Cricetulus griseus: one gene and its partners. The protein of the gene in region 3 interacts with the protein of the main gene of each other region in a pairwise test. Links are inferred from orthologs where the notes say so. Each region holds a gene or a part of one and is shown on either strand. Other genes may lie near its edges.

What was found.
Region 1: the proteins of Disc1 (region 3) and Nup160 interact in binary tests that used the Homo sapiens proteins (3 or more experiments, as listed by UniProt). The link is inferred for Cricetulus griseus from reciprocal best matches to the Homo sapiens genes DISC1 and NUP160.
Region 2: the proteins of Disc1 (region 3) and Tubb interact in a two-hybrid assay, tested with the Homo sapiens proteins (2 studies listed by BioGRID and IntAct). The link is inferred for Cricetulus griseus from reciprocal best matches to the Homo sapiens genes DISC1 and TUBB.
Region 4: the proteins of Disc1 (region 3) and Ccdc136 interact in a two-hybrid assay, tested with the Homo sapiens proteins (2 studies listed by BioGRID and IntAct). The link is inferred for Cricetulus griseus from reciprocal best matches to the Homo sapiens genes DISC1 and CCDC136.
Region 5: the proteins of Disc1 (region 3) and Rogdi interact in a two-hybrid assay, tested with the Homo sapiens proteins (2 studies listed by BioGRID and IntAct). The link is inferred for Cricetulus griseus from reciprocal best matches to the Homo sapiens genes DISC1 and ROGDI.
Region 6: the proteins of Disc1 (region 3) and Mllt10 interact in a two-hybrid assay, tested with the Homo sapiens proteins (2 studies listed by BioGRID and IntAct). The link is inferred for Cricetulus griseus from reciprocal best matches to the Homo sapiens genes DISC1 and MLLT10.
Region 7: the proteins of Disc1 (region 3) and Kifap3 interact in a two-hybrid assay, tested with the Homo sapiens proteins (2 studies listed by BioGRID and IntAct). The link is inferred for Cricetulus griseus from reciprocal best matches to the Homo sapiens genes DISC1 and KIFAP3.

Annotation. Positions count from the first base shown.
Region 1 is NC_048599.1:86,065,750-86,069,249, forward strand, and holds part of Nup160 (nuclear pore complex protein Nup160), read right to left. Parts: intron 2,302-3,500; coding exon 2,202-2,301; intron 1,927-2,201; coding exon 1,761-1,926; intron 1,236-1,760; coding exon 1,108-1,235; intron 606-1,107; coding exon 445-605; intron 1-444. UniProt on the Homo sapiens protein: Functions as a component of the nuclear pore complex (NPC). Involved in poly(A)+ RNA transport.
Region 2 is NW_023276806.1:229,740,798-229,744,928, forward strand, and holds the start of Tubb (tubulin beta-5 chain), read right to left. Parts: upstream 2,801-4,131; 5' UTR 2,615-2,800; coding exon 2,558-2,614; intron 1,235-2,557; coding exon 1,126-1,234; intron 759-1,125; coding exon 648-758; intron 536-647; coding exon 1-535. UniProt on the Homo sapiens protein: Tubulin is the major constituent of microtubules, a cylinder consisting of laterally associated linear protofilaments composed of alpha- and beta-tubulin heterodimers.
Region 3 is NC_048596.1:201,882,762-201,886,261, forward strand, and holds part of Disc1 (disrupted in schizophrenia 1 protein), read left to right. Parts: intron 1-1,416; coding exon 1,417-1,652; intron 1,653-3,500. UniProt on the Homo sapiens protein: Involved in the regulation of multiple aspects of embryonic and adult neurogenesis. Required for neural progenitor proliferation in the ventrical/subventrical zone during embryonic brain development and in the adult dentate gyrus of the hippocampus.
Region 4 is NW_023276806.1:198,400,205-198,403,704, forward strand, and holds part of Ccdc136 (coiled-coil domain-containing protein 136), read right to left. Parts: coding exon 3,343-3,500; intron 1,938-3,342; coding exon 1,434-1,937; intron 1,078-1,433; coding exon 865-1,077; intron 16-864; coding exon 1-15. UniProt on the Homo sapiens protein: May play a role in acrosome formation in spermatogenesis and in fertilization.
Region 5 is NC_048600.1:41,686,745-41,690,775, reverse strand, and holds the start of Rogdi (protein rogdi homolog), read right to left. Parts: upstream 2,801-4,031; 5' UTR 2,693-2,800; coding exon 2,648-2,692; intron 2,555-2,647; coding exon 2,483-2,554; intron 1,721-2,482; coding exon 1,638-1,720; intron 1,501-1,637; coding exon 1,446-1,500; intron 836-1,445; coding exon 755-835; intron 1-754.
Region 6 is NC_048596.1:215,139,754-215,143,253, forward strand, and holds part of Mllt10 (protein AF-10), read right to left. Parts: coding exon 3,461-3,500; intron 2,730-3,460; coding exon 2,633-2,729; intron 1-2,632. UniProt on the Homo sapiens protein: Probably involved in transcriptional regulation. In vitro or as fusion protein with KMT2A/MLL1 has transactivation activity. Binds to cruciform DNA.
Region 7 is NC_048598.1:28,515,296-28,518,795, forward strand, and holds part of Kifap3 (kinesin-associated protein 3), read right to left. Parts: intron 2,465-3,500; coding exon 2,409-2,464; intron 1,885-2,408; coding exon 1,743-1,884; intron 1-1,742. UniProt on the Homo sapiens protein: Involved in tethering the chromosomes to the spindle pole and in chromosome movement. Binds to the tail domain of the KIF3A/KIF3B heterodimer to form a heterotrimeric KIF3 complex and may regulate the membrane binding of this complex.

The DNA of each region.
Region 1 (3,500 bases), on a different chromosome or scaffold from region 3:
TAACTATTAACCCTCTCTTAGAAAAGTTTACACCCACACTCTTGGGTGTCTTTCTTTCTAAGCACCTCTCTTTCTCTAATCCCCATGCTTACAATCTACATTTAAAATGTTTCTTATTAAACTGCAACACTGCACATAAAGTGAGCTAGCTGAATGTCAGCATTTCTCTCTGGGACCTGACTATGGAGGCAGTACACCTCACTCTTCTGAAGTCACAATAGTCTATACCTTCAAACAGCAAGTCAAGACAAACCCTTCCTTTCTTAAGCTGCTTTTGTCAGGAATCTTGTCATGGCAATAATAAAAGTAACCAATACTACTTCTTTCACCTAGAATTTGTAGAACCCCCAGTTAGGCTATGCCTAATACAGACAAATGAATACAGACAAGTCTCTGGCTCTCCAGGTTTGAGAGTCTACAAGTTTTCCCACAAGTAGTACTTACTGCATCTCCTAGCCTTGTTAACAGCTGCTGTAAGATTAAGAGGTCTCGGCAGATCAGGAAACGAGTGCTGGCAATTTTATACACACCTCTGCACACAATATACCCTGCTGTGCTACTACCATAGAGCTGGGAAAGATTCATTCGAACATTCAAAGGTTGAGCTGTAACATAAAAAATGAAGTTAAAGGCTGGCAAGATGGCTCAACAGGTAAAGGAACCTGCTGCTAAGCCTGATAAGCTGAGCTCATTCCCAGGGACCCATGCAGCAGAAAAAGCTGACCCACAAGTTGTCTTCTGTGCACCTCTGCATGTGCACCATGGCATATGTGTGCATGCACATACATAAAATAAATAAATACAATAATCTAAAAAGGAAAAATGGAATTAAACATGTCACTTAAATTTTTATTATTATTTTTAACTATTTTTATTATTATTTTTAACTATGTATATGTGTGTCTATCTCTATGTGGGTATGTGCACATGAGTGCAAGTGTCCACAGACCAGAGACTCAGATCCCCTAGGCTTTGAGTTGCCTGATGTGGGTGTTGGGAGGTGAACTCAATTCCTTTGGAAAAACAGTACGTGCTCTTAACCACTGAGCCATCCCTCCAATCCCCAGATCATTGTTTTATACAAAGCACACTTGCTTTGTTGTTTACCTGGATCAAATCCCTTTTCCATTTCGACTTCTGTTTCATAATCCATTTCCCGTATAAGAAGTCCAATGGCATGGACAGGGTTTCTGATCTCTTGCAGTTTACTACAAATGTCTTCCATCACATTTTCTCTACATGACAATTAGAAAATTCCTGTTACTATTGACAACATTCAAGGCAGGTTATATGTGTGCTCCCCTTAGTGAAGTAGTGGAGACAACTATTCAGGCACAAGATACTCAGAGTCCACATAAAACCACCTTCAACTTCTTAGGAATGACCCACAAAATGAACACAAGGAAAACATTTGCATTTTTAAAAATATCCAGCTCAATTAAGGGCTTTAAGAAGTATACTTTATGAGTTTGTTTTCCAGACCTGAATAAATATGCTAACTTTGCCCCATAACATCTAAAACAGAGGCTGTGGTGTAGTTTAGTGGCAGATCACTTGCCTAGAATGCAAAGGTCTTCCCCAGCATACCTCTCTCTCTGTCTCTGTCTCTCACACATACACAGATCTATGTAGACTCAAGAAAAATCACTTTAACATTAAACCATGACTTTTTATAAACTTGACCATATATTAAAAAATATGTGATAACAAACACTGCTGAATTCCATTAGGAAATGCACTTTACCCTAAATTCTCCTTACACATCAATAGTGATCAAATCTTCCAAAATTTGCTCTGCAGCCTTTTCTGGAGACTGTAAGTTGTAACAACTGGTTTCCATCAAAACTGCCATATCCATGGTAACTGACTCTCCAATCATCCGGAGGCATTTTATAAGACATATGACATCCCGGGCCACATCAGCATCTACAAGGGAAGAGAATGTTAACACTGATGTCTGAAGCCATGAAGGTCTGTTGAATAATACATTAAAAGAGGCATCAATGGCTTGATGGGAGGGATCCCTTTCCCATAGCATAGGTGTTTACACCTTTCTAGCTTAAAAAAAAAAAAAAACTTCAGTAAGGTAAAATCATAAACACAGATCACAGTGGTGACTAATTATTTTTGTGGCCATCTGAAATAAAACATAAGGTTCATGTAGGAAAGGGGTCAACTATAGACAGAACAATTATTATTACCATCTGATATGGTTGTTTCATCCTCTGTCAAAAGGTGCTCATCAGGCAAGAGATATAAATGATCTACTAAGGAAGATGGTACCAGGAAAGACAGGTATCCCTGAAAATACAAACCGTTCAGTTATTTCTTTTTTAATAATTCAAAAAGAAAACATGCAAAGTAACTCGTAATTCATAATGCATCATATAGACAACAAATTATATTGTACATAATATTTATAAATAATTCTATGTCATTTTTAAAAATTGGAAGTGGCCAGCAGATATAGCTCAGTGGTAGAGGGTTTATCTAATACTTGCAGGCCTCAGGTCTGAGGCTCAGCAGAGACAAAGAAAGACAGAATGATAGCAAGGTAGGTCTTCATTTTTATGTGTGTCTATGTATTTGTATTTATTTGTTCAATTGAGTCCATGTGTGAGTGCATGTGTGTGTGTATATATGTATGTGTGTCTACAGGATAACCTTGGCTGTAATTCTCAGGAATGCAGTCCACCTCCTTTGAGACAGGTTTCTCACTGGCCTGGAAATCATAAATTAGGCCAGACTGTCTGAGAAACATGGCCTCAGGATCTACCTGTTTCCATCTCCCCACTATTAGGACCACAAGCATGTACAACAACAACTGGCATTTCTACATGGGTGCTAGGGTCTTTCTGCTTGCAAGGCAAACACTTTACAGACTGAACTATCTTCCTAGACACTGATTCATGAGGAAACACAAAATCAAATTGAAAGATTACATAAAACATATGTAGTCTTCAACCAGAAAGATGATGGCTCAATAGGTAAAGATGCCTGCTGCTAAGGTTAGCTACCCGAGTTTAATCCTTGGCATATGTGTGCCTACACAGACATAGTAAACAAACTAAAGATGTAGTTACAGTGTCAATGTCATAAAAGGTAAAGAAAACTTGGTAACATTGAGAGTATGCTAAGGAACAACTAGGACCAGCAAGGTGAGATGGTTCAGCAGACAAAATGCTTGCTTCACAAGCTTGACAACCTGGGTTTGATCTCTGGAACCCAGAACAGAAGGAGAGGTATGACTCCAAGGTGTGAATAAATACATTTAAGATCTAATATACTGGAGATTAGAGAGATGGCTCAGAGGTTAAGGGCCTTTACTGCCTTTGCAGAGGATTTGGATTTGGTTCCCAGCACATACACCTGTGGCTCACAACTGTCTGTAATTCCAGCTCCAGGGGAATCCAATACCCTTGGCACTGACAGGCAGCCTTACGCACATACACACATATAAAAATGATAGATGGGTGGTGATGCATGCCTTTAATCCCAAA
Region 2 (4,131 bases), on a different chromosome or scaffold from region 3:
GCAAAGCCAGGCATGAAGAAGTGGAGACGTGGGAAGGGGACCATGTTGACCGCCAACTTGCGGAGGTCGGCATTGAGCTGGCCTGGGAAGCGGAGGCAGGTGGTGACCCCGCTCATGGTGGCCGAGACGAGGTGGTTGAGGTCCCCATAGGTCGGCGTGGTGAGCTTGAGAGTGCGGAAGCAGATGTCGTACAGGGCCTCGTTGTCGATGCAGTAGGTCTCGTCGGTGTTCTCCACCAGCTGATGGACAGACAGGGTGGCATTGTAGGGCTCCACCACGGTGTCAGACACTTTGGGTGAGGGTACCACACTGAAGGTATTCATGATTCGGTCGGGATATTCTTCTCGGATCTTGCTGATGAGCAGGGTGCCCATACCAGAACCGGTACCTCCACCCAGCGAGTGGGTCAGCTGGAAGCCCTGCAGGCAGTCACAGCTCTCTGCCTCCTTCCGCACCACGTCCAGGACAGAGTCAACCAGCTCAGCTCCCTCCGTGTAGTGACCCTTAGCCCAGTTGTTGCCTGCCCCAGACTGACCTGGAATGTGGTGAGAAGGGAAAAAAATTACGTCATTATCATTACTAATCTTCACCTTTCACCTCTGGAATCATGCCCTTGGGTACAAAGGAATTCATTCCATGTAACTCACCGAAAACAAAGTTGTCTGGTCTGAAGATCTGGCCAAAAGGACCTGATCGAACGGAGTCCATGGTCCCGGGTTCTAGATCCACCAATATGGCCCGAGGGACATACTTGCCACCTACAGGGATTCAAGTAGAACTGTCAGAGCCCTCTGCAGCGAGGATGAAATCTGGGGTGGGAAATACCACAAACCACTAAACTGCCATTCCAGGCACTGCCACCCGGCGGCAGCAGAGCTAATCTTTGGCCCACTTATGGTGGGTGTCTAATGGAAAAGGGTGAGACCCCAGCAACCGGGTTAACAGGCACTTAACGTGGGAAAACAGGGCGTGGTGCGGCCGCCTTTAAAAGCAGCATTAGGGAGGTAAGTTCCAGGGCAGCCATGGCTGCATAACGAGACCCTGTCTCAACAGAAGGGCGCAGGGTTTAAAAAGACCAGGGATAAGTGTTAACAGAGAAAAAAGAAGCTGGATTCCCTCCCTCACCTGTGGCTTCATTGTAGTACACAGAGATTCGGTCCAGCTGCAGGTCGCTGTCTCCATGGTAGGTGCCGGTGGGGTCGATGCCGTGTTCATCGCTGATCACCTCCCAGAACTAGACAGAGCAATGAGCAATGAGCCAGGCCTCAATGGCTGAAGTCCTAAGGGATGCCTCCCCGCCCGCATTTCAACTCTAGACGTGCTCAAACGAGGCGGACGGGTTGATACTGCAATTCCGTTATCTGCCTGCCGAGCCTCCACGACCGAACCTCCAACCGGGGAAGGTCGCCACCTTTGTGGCCCTGGTCAAGTGATGGACAGTTCAAGGGGCTGAGGGTTGCAAGCACCCATATGGGCTGACTGAACTGCCATCCGCCCCCTCGGCTCAGCACCCAGCCAAGCGCTTCAGGGTGGGCACCGCCCCTCCAGGCCAGCACAAAAGAGGGATGGGGTAGGAAGGTGCGGCCACTGCAGTCGCCCACCCCTTACGCGTTCCACGTGACTGCGGTGGCGGGCCGCTCTTCCAGCAGCCCACAAAGGCGGGAGCAGCGTGGGCGGGGCCTGGCACGAGGGGCGGGGCCAGCGCGCCCCCGCCAGCAAGGGCTGCATTGTCCCTGCGCGCCAGGGGCGCTAGCCCCGCCCCCAAAGGGTCCCACCCTTCGGCTACAATCTAGCGGCCGCACTTCCTCCTCTCCACCCATCCCCCGCTACATTGTAATTGCGCGCAAAAAAAAAAGAGAAAACCATGGCCTCAGATTTTTTTTTTTTTGCTTTTGCTACCTTCTCTTCCCTAAATAGCTTTCCCCCAAACACACACATAGTCCCGAGGGACCTCTTATAGACACACAAACCTCTCACTTTCCCATCAGGTCACACCCTAAGATTTCTTAACGGCAATGAAGTAAAAGGAGCCCCCCGCACGGAATCATCACCATCCACCTAAAAGCGAGCCAGGGGATGGCGAGATCGCGAGGGTCTCCAAGCCTTTGTCGAGCGGTGATGCGGCCCGGAGACCTCTGCAGCTGCCCGCCCAACCTCTCCCCTGCCCCCGCCAGTCCTGCTCCGCTAAGGCCCTCCAGGCTGGGTGGGGGTGGCGCAAGGGGAAAACCTCGCTTCGGCTTTGTCTCGGATCGTTTCCGCATCTCTCCTCTCCCGTTCTCGAACCGTTAGAAATCCCCTCTTTTAGATAAGCACTCCAGTCCCTCCTCAGACTCTCCGTCCCCTAAACCCAGGCGTCTCTTTTAATGGCTTTCGGAAAATGTGCCAAGATAAATATTTCTCAGAACGCAAGCTACAAATATGGGTTATAATTGTTCGCGCAGAACTTTGAGGGGCCAAAGCCGGCGGAGGGAGAATGCTAACACCCGGTAACATTAATCATGATTAACCTGGATTTCTCATCCTCACGCGTATCCGGTACCAATTTAAAAATTCTTACCTTAGCACCGATCTGGTTGCCACATTGGCCGGCCTGGATGTGCACGATTTCCCTCATGGCTACGGTTTACTGTAATAAATTTGTGCTGGCTTCAAGGTAGGTACCGAGCAAGAAAAGATAATTGGTTCTTTTTTTTTTTTTTTTTTTTTTTTTTGGCTGGTCTCAGGCTGAAGGGATGGAACGTGGCTCCGGAGGCTGCAGCAGAGAGATGCGAGCACGACCGCAGGAAGGTTCTAAGAGGCAGAAGAGGCCGGCGAGCGCAGGAGGGAAGGCGCGCAGGGCGGGGCGCGCGTTCGCGCAGCCGGGGGCGGGAGATAGGCGGGAGCCCCTGGTCGCAGACAAAGCCTCTCCAGCCTGCCGCTGATTAGATCCGCCGATCACGTGCCAGCCGACCATTGGTCTGTGAGCCAGTGGCGAGCGCAGTCCTTTTTGGGAGTTGTAGTTCTCTATTGTCCACGCTGCAATATGAAGTTAGGCATGGGTGGATACTGTGGGAGGTTTAGTGGGTACCTTTCGTGTGGGTGTGATTGTATTTATTTTTAATGGAAAGTGACCTCGCACGAGATTCCTATCCTCTGTTCCTGAGAGAGGTTTTTGTGCTCTAAGAAGTTTTGGGACTTAACGGTAATTGGGATGTCTGAGGTGCCCTGAATTGGAGATGGGATGGGCGCGCCCTGCAAGCTGCCCACCGCAGTGGCTCTGGTAAAGGCGGACTGCATAGCTCAGCGGAAAGTCCGGAGAAATGTGGCACCCTGCCCTGATCTTACTATCTAGTTCTTTGTGGTCCCAAGACAGTAACTTCAGTGAGCAGCACTCCCTCGCATCCCTCCAGAAGAAAGGATGGCCCTCCGGCTCCTAAGGGAGTTGTCCCAAGGATGTTTCGAGAGAGAAACAAAATTGCAAGGATTTTTCAGACTAGAAGTGTTGCTTGGGACCGATGTTCAGAGAGAGAGAGAAAGCTGTAAACCTCGGCGGCGGGGGTGGGGTGGGGTTGGGCCTTTGGGACCACGCTGAAGACACCATGGTCGTCCTATCAATACAGACGATGAAATGGGATGCTTCTCAAGACACTTGGGTGAAGGAAGCCAAGTGGTCGTTTTCAGTTGGTTGGTTCTATTCGTTACGGGAGGCTGTGGCAGAGTCCAGGAACTGAGAAATGGGAGTCAGAGCCCAGAAGCTTTTCCCAGGGTTTCATTTGATAGAAACTGAGTATCCTGAAAGTGTAAGAGGGATACAAAATGATTCTAAGAGTCAGCAGGGGTGGTTCACACGGTTAACACCTGCTTTGTAACTCCAAGGCAGGAAGATCTCAGGAAGTACAAGGTCAATTGGGCTACTTAAGAGAGTTCCTGTACAGCCCGAGGTACAGCTTTAGACCCAGTTTCAGAATAAATAAATAATAAATAAATGAGTGGAAAATTAGTTTGTGTCCAACCTCCCACACAGTAGGATGGTTGAGGCAGAAGGATTCTTGTACGCTGAAGGCTAACCTGGTCTACAAAGTGAGAGCCTGTCTTGAAAACAAACCACACACGGGGCTGGAGAGATGACTCGGCAATTAAGAGCATTTGTCC
Region 3 (3,500 bases):
GGCTTTATTGCTATAGGTTCAAGCCTGGGCTATAAGATGAGTTCTGGGCTAGTTACTGAGTGAGATGTTGACTCTGAGAAACAAAACCAAAACCAAACCAAAACAAAACAAAACAAAAATGAGAGCAACAAAGAGTGTGGGTTTCACAGAGTGGTTAGTTTTGAGTTTCTGTTGAGCACACTGAGACTGTGGGCTAGCTCAGCCCTCTCTCTTCTCTGGGTGGGTGCAGGAGGTAGAAGCTGTGGAGAATCTGCACTGTGGGTGGAGAGAACATCCTGGAGATAGGGAGATATCAGGAATTAAGCTGTACTCTTATCAGCTAGGAACAGTGAGGGAACAGGGGGTGTGTCCGTTAGTAGAGCCTGGTGTTATATTCAGACTCCTACGCAGTGAGATGGCTATCTGCCCAGTGCTGAGCTCACACTGTGTTCAATTACCTGCTGCTTGTTTATTTCTTGGCCTGGAGACAGATGATGGTTATGGATTAACTTAGATTCCAGCTTAATAAATTAGGGCAAATTGTGTGTGTGTGTGTGTGTGTGTGTGTGTGTGTGTGTGTGTGTGTGTGTGTGTGTGTGTTTGAGTTTGAATGTGGGCACAGGTGCATGTATGTGCACATGTATGTGGAGGACAGAAGTTGATATTTGATATTTACTCCAATATCCCTTTACCTTATTATTATTATTTTTTTGACACAGGGTTTCTCACTGAATCTACACTTTACTGATTGGGCTAGACAGGCTGGCTAGCAAGTCCCTGGCATCCTCCTGTCTTCTACCTCCCCTTACCCTATGCTGGGTTTGCAGATTCATTCTGTGGGTCCCCAGCTTTTGCATGGGTTCTGGGTATCAGAACTAGCTCTTCATGCTTGCATGGCAAGCACTTGACTGATGGAGTTCTCTCACCAATCCTGGGAAGTAAATTGGTCCAACAGTCTGAAGGACACTAGACTCTGGCTCGACAAATCTTGTTCTCCCAATCCTATTGACCCGACAAGCCAAGGTTCTTGTGTTTTTGTACATCCTAAGTTCTTGTGTTTGGGAGCAGGCTGCCCTTTCCCCTCCTGGCCCACAGCTGGTGTCTCAGTGTTTGGTGTGAGTGGCTAGTGCCTTTGCTTCCCCATCAGAAGCGAAGCCAGTGATACATCATTTGCTGGGTTCTCTCAAGTCAAAACCTTGGCTAGCGCTTGTCCGTATTTAATGCTTGGGAAGGAGAGGATGTTTTTCTTCCTGCCAACTCATCAGAAACATAAAACTGGCATGATTTTCCCAGTTCAGCAGACTTCTGGAATTGGCCTGCCTCGGAAGAGTGGGGTGGGCTCCGAGATTGTGGTGCATATGGCCTGCTCTCATTTAACCGATTCATTAGTAGCAGAGCAGGGTTAATGGATGAAATCTGTTCCCCCATTCTCTGCAGAAGGAAATCGAAGCTCTCCAATCAAGGATGTCTGCGCTGGAGGCAAAAGAACAACAGCTGAGCCAAGAGTTGGAGGATCAGGAGACACTGCTCCAGTGGCAGGGCTGTGATCTGATGCCACTGGTGGCCCAGCTGTCCCCAGGACAGCTGCAGGAAGTCAGCAAGGCCTTGGGAGAGACATTGACCTCTGCCAGCCAGGCTCCTTTCTGTGTGGAGCCACCTGAAACCCTTAGGAGGTATTGGTGATTTTCTAACTGATTTTCCAGCGTTCCCTCTTTCACCTGTTTATTGAGATGGCTTTGCTGCCCATTCATTGTTCACAGGTGCTTCTCAGGTGGTTTGTTTGCTTAGTGGAAGTGCTGGTGGTGTTGAGATGTAAGATTCTTCACTGCGGGGTCAGTTCTGAGCACTGGGAGTTATTTGGCATCCAGTCCACCCAATCCCTAGCTGCCAGCACTGTCCCCTCTCCAATAGGCAGTTTCCAAAATTCCAAGGGGCTGGCTTGTCTCTCCTTTCCCCTTCCCTCCCAAATTTGGGGTCAGTTGGATAGAGATTTTGACATTGGCTTTTGCTGAAGACAATTATCTGGAAAGAGATTTCACTTCTAAGAGGTAGGGTGTGACATCAGAAGGGTGTGACTTGGGGCATAGGGCATGGCATTGGAAGAATGTGACCTGGGGGATGGGATGTGACATTGAAAGAGTGTGACTTGGGGGAAAGGGCATGGCATTGGAAGAGTGTGACTTGGGGGAAAGGGCATGGCATTGGAAGAGTGTGACTTGGGGGGTAGGGCATGGCGTTGGAAGAGTGTGACTTGGGGGGTAGGCTGTGGCATCGGAAGAGTCTGAGCTGGCTGGGGAGATTTTCAGTTACAAAAGTATTTACTGCATGAGCGCAAGGACCTGATCTTGGATCCCCAGAACCCACATAGAAATCTGGGTGCAGTGTAACCCCATTTCTGAGAATGCAGACTCAGGATCCCTAAGGCTTGCTGGCTAGCCAGTTTAGCTGAATTAATGAGCTCCAGGTTCAGTGACCCTATATTACAAAGATGAGACAGAATGTGATTGAGGAAGATATATGACCCTCCCTCTGCACGCGCACACACACACACACACACACACACACACACACACACACACACACCCAAAAAACCAAAACAAAAAACCCAACCAACCAGCCAACCAACCAACCAAATTAAAAACTCCCAAACCAAACCAAACCAAACAAAAACTCCAAACAAATGAACAAATAAACCAAGAGGGCAACATAAGCAGTATTTTTTTATCAGGTCACTGGGATGAATGAGCTTGTGTTGCTGCTGTTGCTGGCTAAGCAATGTCAAATGCCTGGTCCTGGGCAGAGCTACTTTGTGGGTCACATCAATTATGCTGTCTGTTTTACAGACAGTGAAAAGTAGTTTAAGAAGGTTAATAATTTAAAAAATTGATAATCTGCCCAAAGTGTTAATAGGAGAGAAAAACAGATAGACTGCTATTCCTGCTTTCTCAAATGTGGTGTCTCATCTATCACGAAGGGGTCTTTCCTATGTTTTACACTGCAGAGAGCTTGTGAAATACACATATACACATCTGCTAGGTTGTATTTAATTTTTTTAAAGACAGGGTCTCACTATGTACCTCAGGCTGGCTTCTAGTTCTCTGTATATCTCAGGCTAGCCTTGAACTAGGGATCCTCCTGTTTCTGCCCTCTAAGTTGTTGCTCTTAAGGGGTTTCAATCTCATTTTGGAGACACATGGAAGACACACTTACACATGTGGGAAAGGAGTGCTTGTGGATGGGCAGGGATGTGCAGTCAGGGCTTAGGACTCTGCTGGGCCACTGTGCTCCCTACCTGTGGGGATCCTCATTCTGTGATTTCTGGCTGACTGTTTGGGGAGACTCTTTAGTTTCAGCTAGCCTCACTGTGGCTGTCTGTCCTCCTGTTTCCACCTCTTGAGTTCTGGGACTCATCACCACACCTGGCTAGATCAACATGGCAGCTGTTGTCACTCACAAACTCGACACCATCAATGGAAGCCAGCTTCAGACTCCAGGTGCTTTCTGGCATCAGTCAAGTGCAA
Region 4 (3,500 bases), on a different chromosome or scaffold from region 3:
CTGCAGTTCTTTGATCTGTGGGTGGTGGGATTCCAGTTATCCATGGCAGTCCCACCCAGTCAGCCCAGGCCCTCAAGGGAGCACTGCCTTGCAACTCTCCCTGCTAACGCTTCCAAGTAGACCATGAGACCTAATGCAGATAGCTTTCCTCCTAAGTTGAGGTTAAATGAAGGTCTGCATGGTAAAAAAACTAGTATTAAATCAATAGATATTATGTTTTTGATCATGACCTGTCTGGGGAATAACTACAGGACTACCACCATGTCTGAACCTCAGGCATTTATTATTATCTAATTCTTTTTTCCAGGAACTCCTACTTTACCCAGTCCATTCCTCTAACAGATAGTAACTTAGGGAATTGGTGCATGTACTTGGTTGGGCACCTGCACCTCCCTCCTGGTAACACACAGTTATAACCTTGCCCCTAGTCTCAGGTTTTGTTCTCCTAGGCCTATGGCAGCGTACAGTCTGTTCAATAAGCACCAATCAGACTAGGTTCATGTGGCCATCACTCTTTGGGTCTGTTCTATCTCTCCCAGGCACATATGTAGTGACCCTCCCACTGGACAGTGAACCTGTCCTTGAAGTGCATATAACCTAGTTGAAAAAAAAAAAGACAATGCACTCAAAATAATGAAAGAATATTATAGTGCTCTGGGGGCACAAAGTACTAGAGAGAATAGAAGCAGCAAAGGGAAGAACAGTAGAATGGTTGACCAGTATGCCAGCAGTGAGCACTGTCCATCAGGTACAGCGGACTGTCTGGCCTCCTGGGATTTGGTTTTCCTGCACTGCCCTGCCTACCTTGTTCTCTAAAGTGTTCTAGGGGCTTCGGAGTGGGAGCTCTGCCACCGCAGCAGTTACCTCATTCTTGTCGCTCTGGGAAGCTGCAGGCTTCTCCAGGCACTCCTTCAACTCCTTCTCACAGTCCTCCAGCTCGTGACTCAGCTCTCTCTGCTTCACCAGAAGCCTGTTCATCTGCTCCTGCACCTGGCAGTGGTCCTCCTGGCTCACCTGGTACAGGGCCTTCACAGCCTGCAACTTGGTCAGCACCTTGGCCACTGTCTCCTCAAAGTTCTGCAGAGAGTGGGGGGAGCAATGACAGCACCCCAAGAAGCATTTGATCTCTGCCCTACACCTTGCTAGGCCCATCCCTGGAGCTGCCTAGGGGAGACTGTATTTCTTCCCTGAAAGAATTTCCTGACTGTTCAAAGTCCTGAACCCTGGGGACTTTGTCCAAATCAGGCCACCTATGTCAGGAGCGAGGGGAAGCAGGGCGACCATAAACAGAAGCCTCACATACTTCAAGAAGTCTTCCAGGCCAGCTCTGATCCTACTCCTATCTCACTCTTTTTATGCCCTCCCCCTGGTGATGTTTCTTGCAAAGATAGAAACCCATCTGTCCCTCTGACCAGTCACCTCACAATGGTTACCTCTAGGTCTCCAGGCTCTGCTGGGTCCTCATCAGCAACACTAACATAACTCTTGTGAAAGGTTTCAGAGCTAGCAGTGCTACCATAGCTCTTCTTATAGGCAACACTTGTGTTGCTGGAGCGGTAACTCTTCTGATAGGCCTCATTGCAACTGGCGCTGCTCTCATAGCTCTTGAGGAAGCTGTCATTGCTGGCCTGGGAGCTTACGTAACTCTTTTGAAAGCATTCATTGTCCTCGATGGTGCTGTCATAACTCCTGTTAAAGCTTTCATTGCTGGGGGCCATGCTGCCTGGGGTCTTCCTGTAGGACTCAAGACTCATTTTTATGGTGGGGGACTGACTTTGGAGCAGCTGTATTTCTTCCATGCAGAGCTGTAGCTCAGCCTGCAGCCTCTTCCGCTCCTCCATGAGCCGCCCATGCTCCTGCTGCAGCAGCTCCTGTTGCCTCTGACTGGTGTCATATAGCACCTGCAGAGCCTGCAGCTGGTCCATAAGCACCTTGGACTGGGGAGGGGGGGAGCAGGAGACATCACTATTACTCTGAGACATTTCAGTACTTTCAGCTGCCCCATCTCCTAGGGCAGGTATGAGTGCTCACCTGAGAGAACTGTACATTCACACCACAGTCCAACAAGGCCTCTGTCTCTGACTTAACCTACAGGGACTGGTATATGTCAGCTCTCTGCTCCTTTGGGAAACTCTCCCCAGGGCAGATACTCAGTGATTTTTTTAGGGCTTCTGTTTCTGCTGGTTTCTGACTCTGGCATATACATCTTCTTCCTTGGAGCAGTGTAGGTGGGTCTCAAGAACACCCTGGCTCCCTACCATACCATCATTTTAAATCAAGTATACCCACTATCCTGATCCTCAGTCCTCTCCCCCTCTCTTCATGGTAAAATCATCCCAGCTGGGAATGTGTGAAGATGAATTTTGTCCTTGGAAGATGCAAGCTTGGAATCAAGGTCTTGTTACCCACTAGTCCCTTTACCTTCTGCTAGGATTCTGTATCTGGTCTTGAGGAATGTTTTCCAAGCCCAGTGGATATACAGCACTAGACTAAGGGAACTGATTAAGGGAATAGTTTCTATCTGGTTTCCCAGTCTCTATGCCACCCAGGCTTTTCAGCCTGGATATGTGACACCCCTGCAATGATCAAGCTCCACTGTTTGGACTTCTGCTACTTCCTGGTTCTCCTTGTTCATGTAGCCTGAACTGAAACTGCCTATGTGCTCTACCTCACACCAAATTTATTCCCCAACTCTGAACAGACTAGTATAGAAATTTCTACCTATCTTACCTCATAGGCACCTGGTAGTGCTTGAGAAACACTGATTTTCTGCTATGTCCCTGTGGCCTGGCTTGCACAGTGTAGTCAGTACCATGAGCCTGCCTGCCTGCCTGCCTGCCTGTCTGTCTGTCTGTCTGTCTGTCTGTCTGTCTGTTGCAGCTGCTTTCCTTGCAGGTGACTGGGCCCAGATTTGTTCATGGAGCCTCAAAAGGTTAAAAACTCAAAAAACGGAGAAGTAGACTTTCCAGATAAAACAAAAAAGATGACACATTTAGGGCCAGTCCAAAGGAACCAAAACAAACATTGAATTGATCTCACATATCTTGGAAATGCCATGTTGGTAGGACTGAATCCAGTGGTCAGACAGACTTCTGTGCCCCTTGAACTCTGTTCTAGATGCTGACTACACTTCAGCTCTTAAAGTAAATCATCTATAATTCCAAACATCAGACCAGAGTGTGGGCATCAGCTTATTGGGGCCAATGGAGGCCTCTGACCAGTGAAGGGCAGGCAGGATGTTAGCCTTACCCTGCTTTCTACCCAAACAGGCCTCCTCCTGACTCCACTCTTCCACAGAGTCCCCCTTCCTTGCCACACTGCCCTTCCTTCTGCTGTGGTTACCTTATTCTCACAAAGGGAGGATTTAGGCCCTTTGGTGTCCTGAGGATTCGCCACCACATCGTGGAAACCAGAGTCTGTAAACTCTCGGAGTTCTTTGTGGGCCTCTAGCTGTTCCTTCAGTAAGTTCTCCTGATTCTTTATCAGCTTTCTCTGCTGGT
Region 5 (4,031 bases), on a different chromosome or scaffold from region 3:
AATACCCTCCAGAACTGTAGTCTTTGAAACTGGATGGCTAGGCCTCGGACAATCCTGGCTGCCAAGGCACACTGGCTCTTGGCACTGCAAAAGACAACCCCTAGTACAGCCGCAAAGTAATAAGCTTGCAGGGCTCAAGGGAGGAAACAAGCAAGGATGGGAGAGACCTGAGAACTAAGAAAGGCCACAGGATTGGGTGGTGGAGCACACCTTTAATCCCAACATTCGGGAGGCAGAGGCAGGTGGATCTCTGAGTTCAAGGCCAGAGAAAGTTCCAGGACAGCTAGGGATATACAGAGAAACCCTGTCTCAAAAAACCAACCAAACAAAAAACCCCACAGGAGTGGGAAAGAGTGGGGCCTCAGAAAGAGCAACACACATAGACAAAGGCCCTGGGGTATGGACCAGCTTTAGGCCAGGTTGTGTGTATACATGCCCATGTGTTTCCTGTGGTCTATGAGTAGGAAAGAGGCCTGTGTATGATCCCAGATACATGGAAAGCCAGTCTTGAGTAAGTGATATTCAAAGGAACCTTTAGCTGTCCTTACATAGCCAAAGTCACTAAGGTAGGGCCAGCTTCACATCCCTCATGTGGAGCAGGCTCTAGGGCCCCAAGGCACCACCACCCTAGTTCTGCTAGGAAACAGCCTATGTTTGCTGTGGTCAAAGTCCCTACTGCCAGACTTCCCCATGAAAGGTAACACCAGGGAGCCCTTTGCTGGGGCCTGACTCCGGTTGGGCAAGGGATCCTCACCTGTTGTAGTTTCCATTGCTTGTCCTCCCGGAAGGCGAAGTGTAACAGTTGGTTGTTCCGAGGCATCTTCAAGTTCACATCCTATGGGCCAGAGTGTGATAAGCAGGCAGAGGTACCTACCCCTATGCTTCCTGACAGGAATGCAGTAGATGGGTGGCTGAGGCCCCAGGCACTTTGGAGTTAAGTGATCAGGAATGTCAAGAAATAGGAACCCAAGCCCAGGAGAACCACAGAGCAGCGAAAAGGAAAGGAAGTTGAGAAAGGGGAAGGTCTAGAGGGGAGGGGAGCTCTGTAAAATCAAGACTGAGCCACAGGGAGGGACTGTTCCCATGCCTTAAGGCCTTGCATAGTCCAGATTTGAATTGCTCAGATGTTGAGCAATTCAACTTTGATCCAGGGCCAGCATGCCTAGGCTGCTAATGCTCACATTTCACAGGGTACAGATGCCAGGCTGTGCTAAGGGTGAAGCCACCCACTCCTTGCACCTCGTACAAACTATATGCCTATCTCATGAGGTAGTGTGAGGGTTGCCTGTCAAATGACAGACATACAAGGAAACAGCTCCAGAGAGGATAAAGTTCCTGTCATAGTCATGCAGCTAGCTGGTGGCAGAGCTAAGAGGCTGTCCTCATCACCAGCAGGGCTGTTATGGAATAGGGCCCCCGGGGGTGGGGGTGGAGACACAACTCACCGCCTGGCTGAGGGCATCCCCTTGCAGAGTCAGCACACCCTTCACCTGGTCTGTGCTATAACACACAGAAGTCAGAGGGGTACTCCCTCCCCTCCCCCTCCCCCTGCAGGCTGTTTCATAGCAACACCAGCATTCCCTCCCCCAGGTACTCCAAGAGTACCCTCCCAAAAGCTCCTGCCCAACCCAGCTCACCCACAGCTGCCTAGGATGAAGTTCTCCTGTTTGGTAGGTCCCTCTGTGCTGGGTCCTGGGAGAGTGAAGCGGAGAGAGGCCTCCTGTGGAAGACAGGGCAGTCCCAACACCTCAGTCTGGCCAGTACTCCATTCCAAGGCCCTAGATACCTTGCCAGATTAGCCAGGAAAAGGACAGGCCTTACCTGGCTCCTCTGCCTTTGCCCCACCAATCCTCCAAGCCTCTGTGCGCTCACACCTGTTCATTTCATGGTCCTGAGTAGACCAGGTAAGAACACAGAATGGAGAGGCACATTACCTAGCTAACTGGAGTGCAGTGATGCGGTGTTAGGGGCAGAGGCATGGAATTATGCAGTAGTCAGTCATGTTTTCCTAGATCACAGTGCTAGGCATTTTGTGACATGGTTTATTCATCTTCACAACAGCTCTGTGAGCCTGATTAGGGGGAGGGAACAGGCTCAGAGATGTGGGTAACTTGGCTGAGATCACACTGCAGGGCAAGGCATCCTTCAGAGCTCGAATTGTCAGTTTTGTTTTGAGACCGTGTTTCATGATGAAGCCCACGGCTTCGTGATCCTCTAGCCTCACCTTCTCGAGTGCTGGGATTACAAGCTCTCACCACCACTCTGCCCATAGACGAAATGTCACTGTTTCAAAGTTAGTCTCACTTAAGACCCGGTGTTAACCCTGGGGTCTAAGACCTCGCTGCACACACACGCCACCTTGCCTGCGTCTGGACTGTAACTCTTCTGAGAGCGTGGGTACCTGAACGCCACCACGCTCAGCAGCCGCCGCTGCGGGACCGATGGAAAGAGGGATGGCAGGCCGGGAGTGACCTGCCCTTACCTTGAGGATGTCCTGCAGCTGTCTTAGCACGGCGTGCACCTCAGCGTTCAGCAACCAGCGGAACTCTTCCTCCTGCGGACAGCGCGGCGTCAAACCCTTCAGTCCCGCCGCCCGCGCCCGCCGCCCGCCCGCCGCCGCCGCCCGCCGCCCGCGCCCGCGCCTCACCAGCACTGCCCGCTCCGCGGCGCTCGCAGCCATCGCAGTCGCCATAGCCGCGGCCGCGCGCCGTCTCTGAGGTCTGTAGTCTGGAGCTCGGTGCGCCGCGCCCGCCCCTCCTTCTCCCGTGACCGATTGGGAGATTGGGCGCAAGCCCCGCCCCCAAGCCGGTTCCGCCTCACACAACCAGCTATATCTCCGGGTCCCGCCTCACCAGGAGGCGGACTGGCCACGCTTCGCCGCCCATCCGCCCTTCTTTTAACCCGTGTTTCTCAGTAGGGGCGGGGCGCTACGGCAACCAACATAGCTCTATTGCTTACTGATTGGCCAGCGGGGCCGTCCCTCATTGCGCCGTTCTTGTATTGTTCCGCCAGGTGGCGTCCCGCCCAGCAGGCACGCAGAGGGAGGACTAAGCTGGGCAGATACTGGAAGGAGGCCTGCGCATGGACGCACTCTGGCTCCTACTTTAGGTCCCCAAAGCGCTCTGGCACAAGTGTCACAGCTGTGGTACCAAGAAATGTTTTATTTTTCTTTTTCTTGCAGTAGCTTTGTTAATTGCACAAAATCATGTTTTGTTTTCGCCATTTAAACATTATCACACAATCCTATTCTGAAAGACAAATGCTCATTAAAAACAAAGCGAAAATAAAAATTCACAACCTTAATCACCTAGATTTGTCATTTAAAGGAAAAGGGGGAGGAGGGGCTTTCTTACAAGCATTTTCACAATGTCACATTTTCTCCTTAAAAGGGAAGGATTTCAAAACGAAAGGTGAAATAGCTTAAACAGAAATAGTCATAAAAAGGAACTTTACAGAATTGTCAACAATATTAAGACAACATTGACTAACCGGTTTCCTTACAGTATCTTCCCCACCCCCAACCCCCAGGACCAAGACAGGATGTGTCCAGACAGAAAACAGGTTCAGCATCCCAGTGAATGAGCAATTGTGCTGAACCCCACAAGCATTCTTTGCTCCATGCCCATGTCCTGAGATCTTTATCCCAGGTTCTTCCCAGTGGAAAAATCAAATTCTGGCTTTGGAAATCCAAACTCATGAGGAGGAAGGCAGACACCTCAGGTGATTCCTCTCATGTGGCATTCTAAGCCTCTCTGGTCCCTCTCCAAGGAGACGTGCTAGGGCCTACAGATGACTGGCTCCACCTCTGAGGGGCAGTTAGGTTAGTAGAACAAGGCCCAGTTCTCTTCTGTCCCAACAAACCCAGAGCTTGGAACCACTGCTACTGGCAGAAGTGAGGTTCCACCTCAAAAGCCCAGCCTATGAAGTGCTCATCTATGAAATGTTTATTATTGGTATTGGTTAGGCTGGGTCTGGGCCAAAACAGGATGGGACAGAAATACTATCTCCATGGGAGGAAAAGGGAAAGAGGG
Region 6 (3,500 bases), about 13 Mb from region 3:
GTAATAAACTTGGGGCTGATTATCACAGTAGTCACTGGATGTTCCCTCCTGACTCTTCTTGTCTAATTCTCTCCTCAACTCACACACCTCCTTCCAAGCACCGGTCCGATAAGTCTGCCGGACCAGACAGATAGATGCCTCTCAAGGAGGGGCCCTGACAGAAATATTCCAAATGAATATTCTACTCCTAGCAAGTGTTTTCTTGCTGCACTTCTGGATTCTTCTTTTCAGCAAGCATAAATTCCTTTCAAGATAGATTTCCTGGGTGCTGACTAATAGGCACTGTATTAGCTATTTGGGATACATGGTGGTAGTTGCCTGCCTGCCTAGGGAATGAGAAAGAATGATACAGTGTGATTATTGCTAAGAGTAGACAAAGTCCATGAGAATGCAGTAAGTAGTCATTCAACTACTCTGTCAACACAGGACAAAGACTTGGAGGGTACCGCATTAGCAAAGAGGATAAGCAGGAAGGAGGGCATTTCCAGGATCTCAGGGAGAGCTTGTGCACAAAGATTCTGGACCCACAAGAGCCCAATGGCAGGCAGGTAAGCAGGGGAAAGAGCACATGGCTCCCACCTAGACCATGAGAGGGAAGCTGGAAAGTCAAGAGAAAGTTTTGAGCAGAGGAGGCAGCTTCCTTCCTTTCTTTCTTTCGGGAGTGGGACCAGACATGGTCTCATTATGCAGGGTGCCTACCTCTGTCCCTGATGCTCAAATTAAAGCTGTGTGCTACTACACCTAGTAAATGAAGTCACTGTAGTATGTAGTTAAAAAACAAAAAAAGGAAAGAAAGATAGACTACAAGTTTTGACTTAGGCACCTAAAAGGATGGAGTTGGGAAAAGGAGAGCAGTCAAGCATGGTAGCTCAGGCTGGGACATGTTTAAATGCCCTTCATGTCAAGTGCGCTATGTGGTAAGTGGGGGATCCAAAGTGGGATGCTCTGGACAGAATTCTAATCTGAAGATGAAGGCAACTATACATGGACCAAACTGAAACAAACATCTGAGAGTGAAGGACATTGCTGAACTCAACTTTTAGGTAAGAAGGCTGAAGAAAAGAGCTTGAAGCCCAAATGGGAAACAAAAAAGGACTAGCTAGGTAGGACCGTGACGTCATAGCAGGTGGAGAGAAGACCAACTGCCCGTATGTGACTGGTAAGTCACGATGTCACAGGACAATGACTCGACTTACCAGTCTATTACCTCCCATGCAGGGACAAATGGCAGTGGTGATAGAAGGCAAACAAGAGGCTGAGGTTTTGGCTTTTTGAGACAGTCTCATATAGTTAGTATGGCCTTCAACTCCCAAGTGCCAGAATTATAGGTGTGTGCTACCCTATCCCATACACTATCAGAAGAATACTTCATCTTACATTTTTAGGACACAGTTAAAGCTAAGTTGCTGAGATGCCTGAAATCCCAGCACTTGAGGGGACTGAGGCTGGAGGACATGAATTCAAAGCAAACCAGTGATACATATGAATATCCTAGCACGCACACACACACACACACACACACACACACACACACACACACACACACACACACACACACACAGGGCATAGTGTCTGTATTTAGCTTGTATACTCTCCCATATACTTTAAAATCATTACCAGGACACAATGAAAATATATAAATAGTTACAAATACAAAGAAAATAATGAAAATAATAAATAGTTACACAGTGTTGTAATCCAGTACAAATGCACATTTTTTGCTATTTTTGATTTGCAGATAAAGGAATTAACAGATGGGTCGGGAGGATGAACTGAACGTGATAATAGAAATACTATTTCTCAGGAAAACTATTTCCCTTTGGTTCCTCTGTATGTCTGTAAAGGTCAACATCCAACTGTTCAGTGTTCCTCTTTTGCTTTTTGATTATCATTCAAACATACTACAATTCTACAGTTACCTAACCAGAGATGGCACTACATCAGGATACCAACTGTCCTGCTAGTGATTCCCATTTCTACTATTGAGCACATCTTGCTTCCCTCCCAAAACCCTTTCTAAAAACCCTTGATCACTATCATTAATCATTGTTCAAGTTCAACATTCTCCGATGAATCCTTTAAAAGAAAGAAAGAAAACTAGGGCATGAATGAAGCAAGATCAGCACAACTGATTTAACTATTAGAGCTATGTGACAGAATGGTTCAAATGCCATCTCCCAAGAAGACTGGACAAGCCTATCTCAAACTGGAACTGGTGATGGAATGCCATGGTAGAATGCTAGTCAGGCCAACCTATCATGTGAGGCCCTGGGTTCTCCTCCCATTACCACAAAAGAAATAAATTGGCCCTCACCTTACTTTATCCTTGGACCATTTGATGCCCTCATCACATCTCACTTGCGTCCCTTACTACCATCACTTAAAGTGAACTACCAGGAAAATACTGCTCAAATTCCAATCCCCAGAGCTTAGTTAGCACCGCAATACATGTTCTAACATTTGTAAAACAATCAAAGGGCAGGACAACTTTATGGATACATATTCACAATGGAGGAGCCTACACCATAATCAACATTTATTAGTCTACAACAACAGACACACACACACACACACACACACACACACACACACACACACACACACACACACACTTTCAAAACAGAGAACTTACCGGTGTGAGCTGCTGGGAGTTTAACAGCTGCTGGAATTGCTGCTGCTGGATAAACATTTGTCTCTGTTGGTCGGACAGTAATCCAAGTCCCGAGGCACTGAAAAACCATTGCAATCCTTACTTCTACTGCAGCCTTTTCAGGTGATACGAAAGGCAGTCCCTTCAGTAGGTATTTAACGAACTCAGTTTTATCAAAGACACTTCATTATGTACAAATTATTCTTTTTGCCTATACATGTGTATGCAACTAAAAAGGAATGCACTGTCAAGTTAAATAGGCACAAACTTAAGAAACACAATTTATGTGTTTGCAATAAAGCATATGTAATAATCACCTATCCCTTACTTCATCAAAATCTCTGATTAGAGAATATCAAAACTGTGCTCCTAAATCTTGCAGAACCAGTATCACATGACTGTCACAATAATGTCTTTGCAGAGTAAGATACACACATGCTGAAAGAAGGATGAAGAAAAACTAACATTTAAAAACAGATACCACAGATCGGGACTGACATTTTCTACACAGAATGTATTTTAACATTATGTTACTGAAACTGATATTGAACTGAATTTTATCAGTCTAATAAGAAAAAAAAAATACTATGAGTACCAAATACTCACTTACTCAATGAGTTTAATAAGGAAAAAAAAAAAACTATGAGTACCAAATACTCACTTACTCAATGAGTTTGGGCAGCTATTCTTCCTACAGAACGTCTACAAAATTCATTAAAAATCCTAACCCAGAACAAGGACAACACTGACATGAGGCACGGAAAATAAAACAAGAAAAACTAAACTCTACTGAAATTGTAAGTTTCTTACCTGTTAGTCAGTGCAGCGGCCGGCATTGGATGTGCTGCGT
Region 7 (3,500 bases), on a different chromosome or scaffold from region 3:
ATTAATGAATATTTGGAGATTTAAGTAAATATGAGGTCAGTTTTAAGTGAGTTATTAGGAGGCTTTTTCTTTTTGCATAAGTATGTACTTGTGGTTCCTGCGTGTTTGCCCATGTGTGAGCACACATACACACAGAGGCCAGAGGCTGACACTAGGAGTCTTTCTCAATTGTTTGCCACCTTATTCCTCGGGGCACACATTCTTAGCTGAATGCAGAGCTCTGCAGATGTCTACTGTAGCTAGCTAGCTTGCTGTGGGAATTATATGTCTGCATCAGAATTACAAATGGGATGCCACTCCCACAAAGCATTCATGTGAGTGCTGGCCACCTGGTGCTGACCTCACCCACCTTGTGCTATGCAGGCAGACCTCACCCAGAATGTTCATCCTAGCCTCTTCCCTCCCTAGACGTTTAGCTCCCAGTTAATGGAAGCCATCCCCAGGAGAGCTGTCACATGTACTGCTGACCTCTTTGCTACCTCGGCCAGAGACTACACTGAATTCTAGACTATTTAGCTATGGAAACCACCCTGATGGCCACTTGTATCTGTCATCCTCATGGTCACTTGTATCTGTAGAAGAGTTTCTATAGAGACAGACCCTAAGCTTTATTGTGCATCTGGAACGGGACTAATTGTTGCCTGAAAACTTTTGACCAAATTATAATGTGTGTTTTAAATACGCTGACAATGAACTGCCTGGCATCAGACTCCCCACGTTTGATCCAAGTCGATGAAGCCAATCCGAACTGAGTTTTTATTCTCACATCTTCGAAGATCACTGCCTGAACTGACACCTACAGGGACCCCCTCAGCCACCTGCCTGTAAGTTGATCACTGGGGCAAGCTAACTAGCTAAACTAGTCATATCCTCAAGCTCTGGGCTCAACTGAGAATAAGGTAGACAGGGATTGCTCCAAGCCCTAGGCCAATACACAAACATAGGAGAATGTATACTTCTACAAACAAGTGTGCTTATGCACTTGTGAACATGCATACAAAGATGCACAAACCCCCAGCACACATATGCAAGAAATATATCATTAGTATTATTACAAATGAGTGAGGAATGAAAAGAGTAAAAGGGTATATTGGAACAAATTTCTGTATACTGTTAAAATTAAGTTGGTTATAATTTGAACAAGAATTGTTTGAAATTGTCAATTATAATGTCAGGACATCACTAAGATAATTTCTCAAAAAAAAACCCAAATTATCAAAAATTAGCTTAAAATGATAAACTAGAAAATACCCAGTATAGAAGAAAACAGAAATACAGTAAAAGAAAGGTTAAGAATCATGATAAAAATTTTCATAATTTAAAAATATAGAAACATGTTAAAAGTTTTGTTATTCAAAGAAAATACAAAATGACAAAACCTCCCTTGTGGGCATCACATCAATGTTAAATAGACTAAACACATGGATTCAAGAATGCATGGTGAGCTAGTTATATGATAATTCCAACAAACTCTTGAGATTCAAAAACACAAACAGGGTGAAAATAAAAGAGTGGATAATAGACCTACCATGGAAAGAGAGAGGGAGAGGAAGATAAGTAGTAGATTAAAAGTATTCCTAATATATAGAAGAAAAAAGAAAATTCAGGCTATAAGTATTTAAGACTTGGAAACATGTATATGGGCATTTGTATACATAAAATATTTAAGATCTAAATACAAACTTAAGGGTAGGTTTATTTTACATAATTTTCTATTTTTAATATGTAGATAGAAAATTCACCATTTAATAGTAGTTCTTCCAAGTTATCAGGATTTCGAGCCAGCTGTAGGATCAAGGCAGATCCCCGAACCTTGTCTGGAATATCTTCATACAACAGCTCAATGTACTCGTCCATGTCGTTAATGTTGGCCACTTCATCAATCTGAAACACAGGCAGGAAGCACTCAGCAGCTCTGAGAGACAGCAACACTGCCAGATGGATGCTATTTTGTGATCAATATATTACTTGGAACAATTCCCAAAAAATGGATAATAGTTATCTTTATGTGGATGGAAATTTTAGCCCTTTGTGTACTAGAATGCTAATATTAAATTATAAGCACAATAAAGTGGAACATATATAAACTCTACAATTTGTCTCTCAATGTATTTTAAATGTAATACAAAGCTATTTGTACCTATAATAAAAGATTAAATACTTTACATTTTATTTTGAAATGTTTAGAATATTTTTGCCACTTATTTTAATAAAATTAAAATATGTTAAAAAGCACTACAAACAATTTTTTATTTTATAAAGTAAGCATTGATTTTTCTGCCTTTTTAAGGTATCTCTAAACTGAACCATTTAAGATCTCACATCTGAACATGACCATATGCATTACTGAAAGTAAAGGTGATGTCTGTAGTGTTTTGTGTAGTAGATCAGAATTCATACAGGCTTACCTCCATCCCTTCAAAAGGAGGTGGATCCTTAGGCTTGCTTGATTTTTCTTTTTTTTCTGTAAAACAGATTTAAAAAGAAACCTGAAAATTAGGTTTTAAGGTTTGAGGAGTAATTATTTTTAGTAGTTGAGATTAATGCTGGCTAAGCTGGGGGTATAAAACTAAATATTTGATGAATTCTTTCAGTGTGTAAAAATTAGCTATTTGTTCTAATGATGCTATCAAGGAGGACATAAACCAATAAAATCCATGACAAAACTTATACTTCGTTTAAGATGGGAATAGTTATCAATAAGACAAAGAAAATGGTCTAATAATACAAAAATGAATTCTAGGTAAACTAAAGTTAACATGTAACAGTAAGAAATAACAGCTAAACTATAAGTTGAAATAAATAAGGTGAATGATTTTTGTCTGATAAGTGATATAAGGGACATAAATCAAAATATGAGTATTTGATATTTACATCAACTTAATACTTATGTAATCCCTAGCAGGCATTCAAAGGAACTGAACACATCTTTGGGCCATTTAGTATACTATTCAGTTAAAAGTGTATTTTCATATTCTAAATAGAAACAATGCATACATAAGTAGATAAATTAGAAAAACTCAAATGAATGTATAATTAGCAATAAATATAGATTTGAGACTTGACCCTTACTGGGGACTACTTTGAAAGAAGAAGGGAATCGGCAAGGGTCATGAAAAGATGCGAGAAGTAAATATGAGCACCATATTCACGTATCAGACTGTCATAATAAAAACCATGGTATTATGAAAATTACATACAATAATACATGCTAATAAAAAGAAATACAGCTATGAAGTATGAGTGACAGGAAAAAATGAGAAACATGCTATTGACAATAAAAATGTTAGGAAGGCCTATTCTTTCAAAGAGACATAAATAAATGCTGAATTTAAAAGGAATTAACCATTTCAATTTTCAGAGGCAACATCCATGAGAGATAAGGGCTTATCTTCAAAAGCTAAATTATGTCTCAAACAGATAATTATTATAATAGTAGTTTTGATTAGCAAAGAAAAAGAAATCACTTAAGCAATGAATCACAGTGTCACAATTTACTA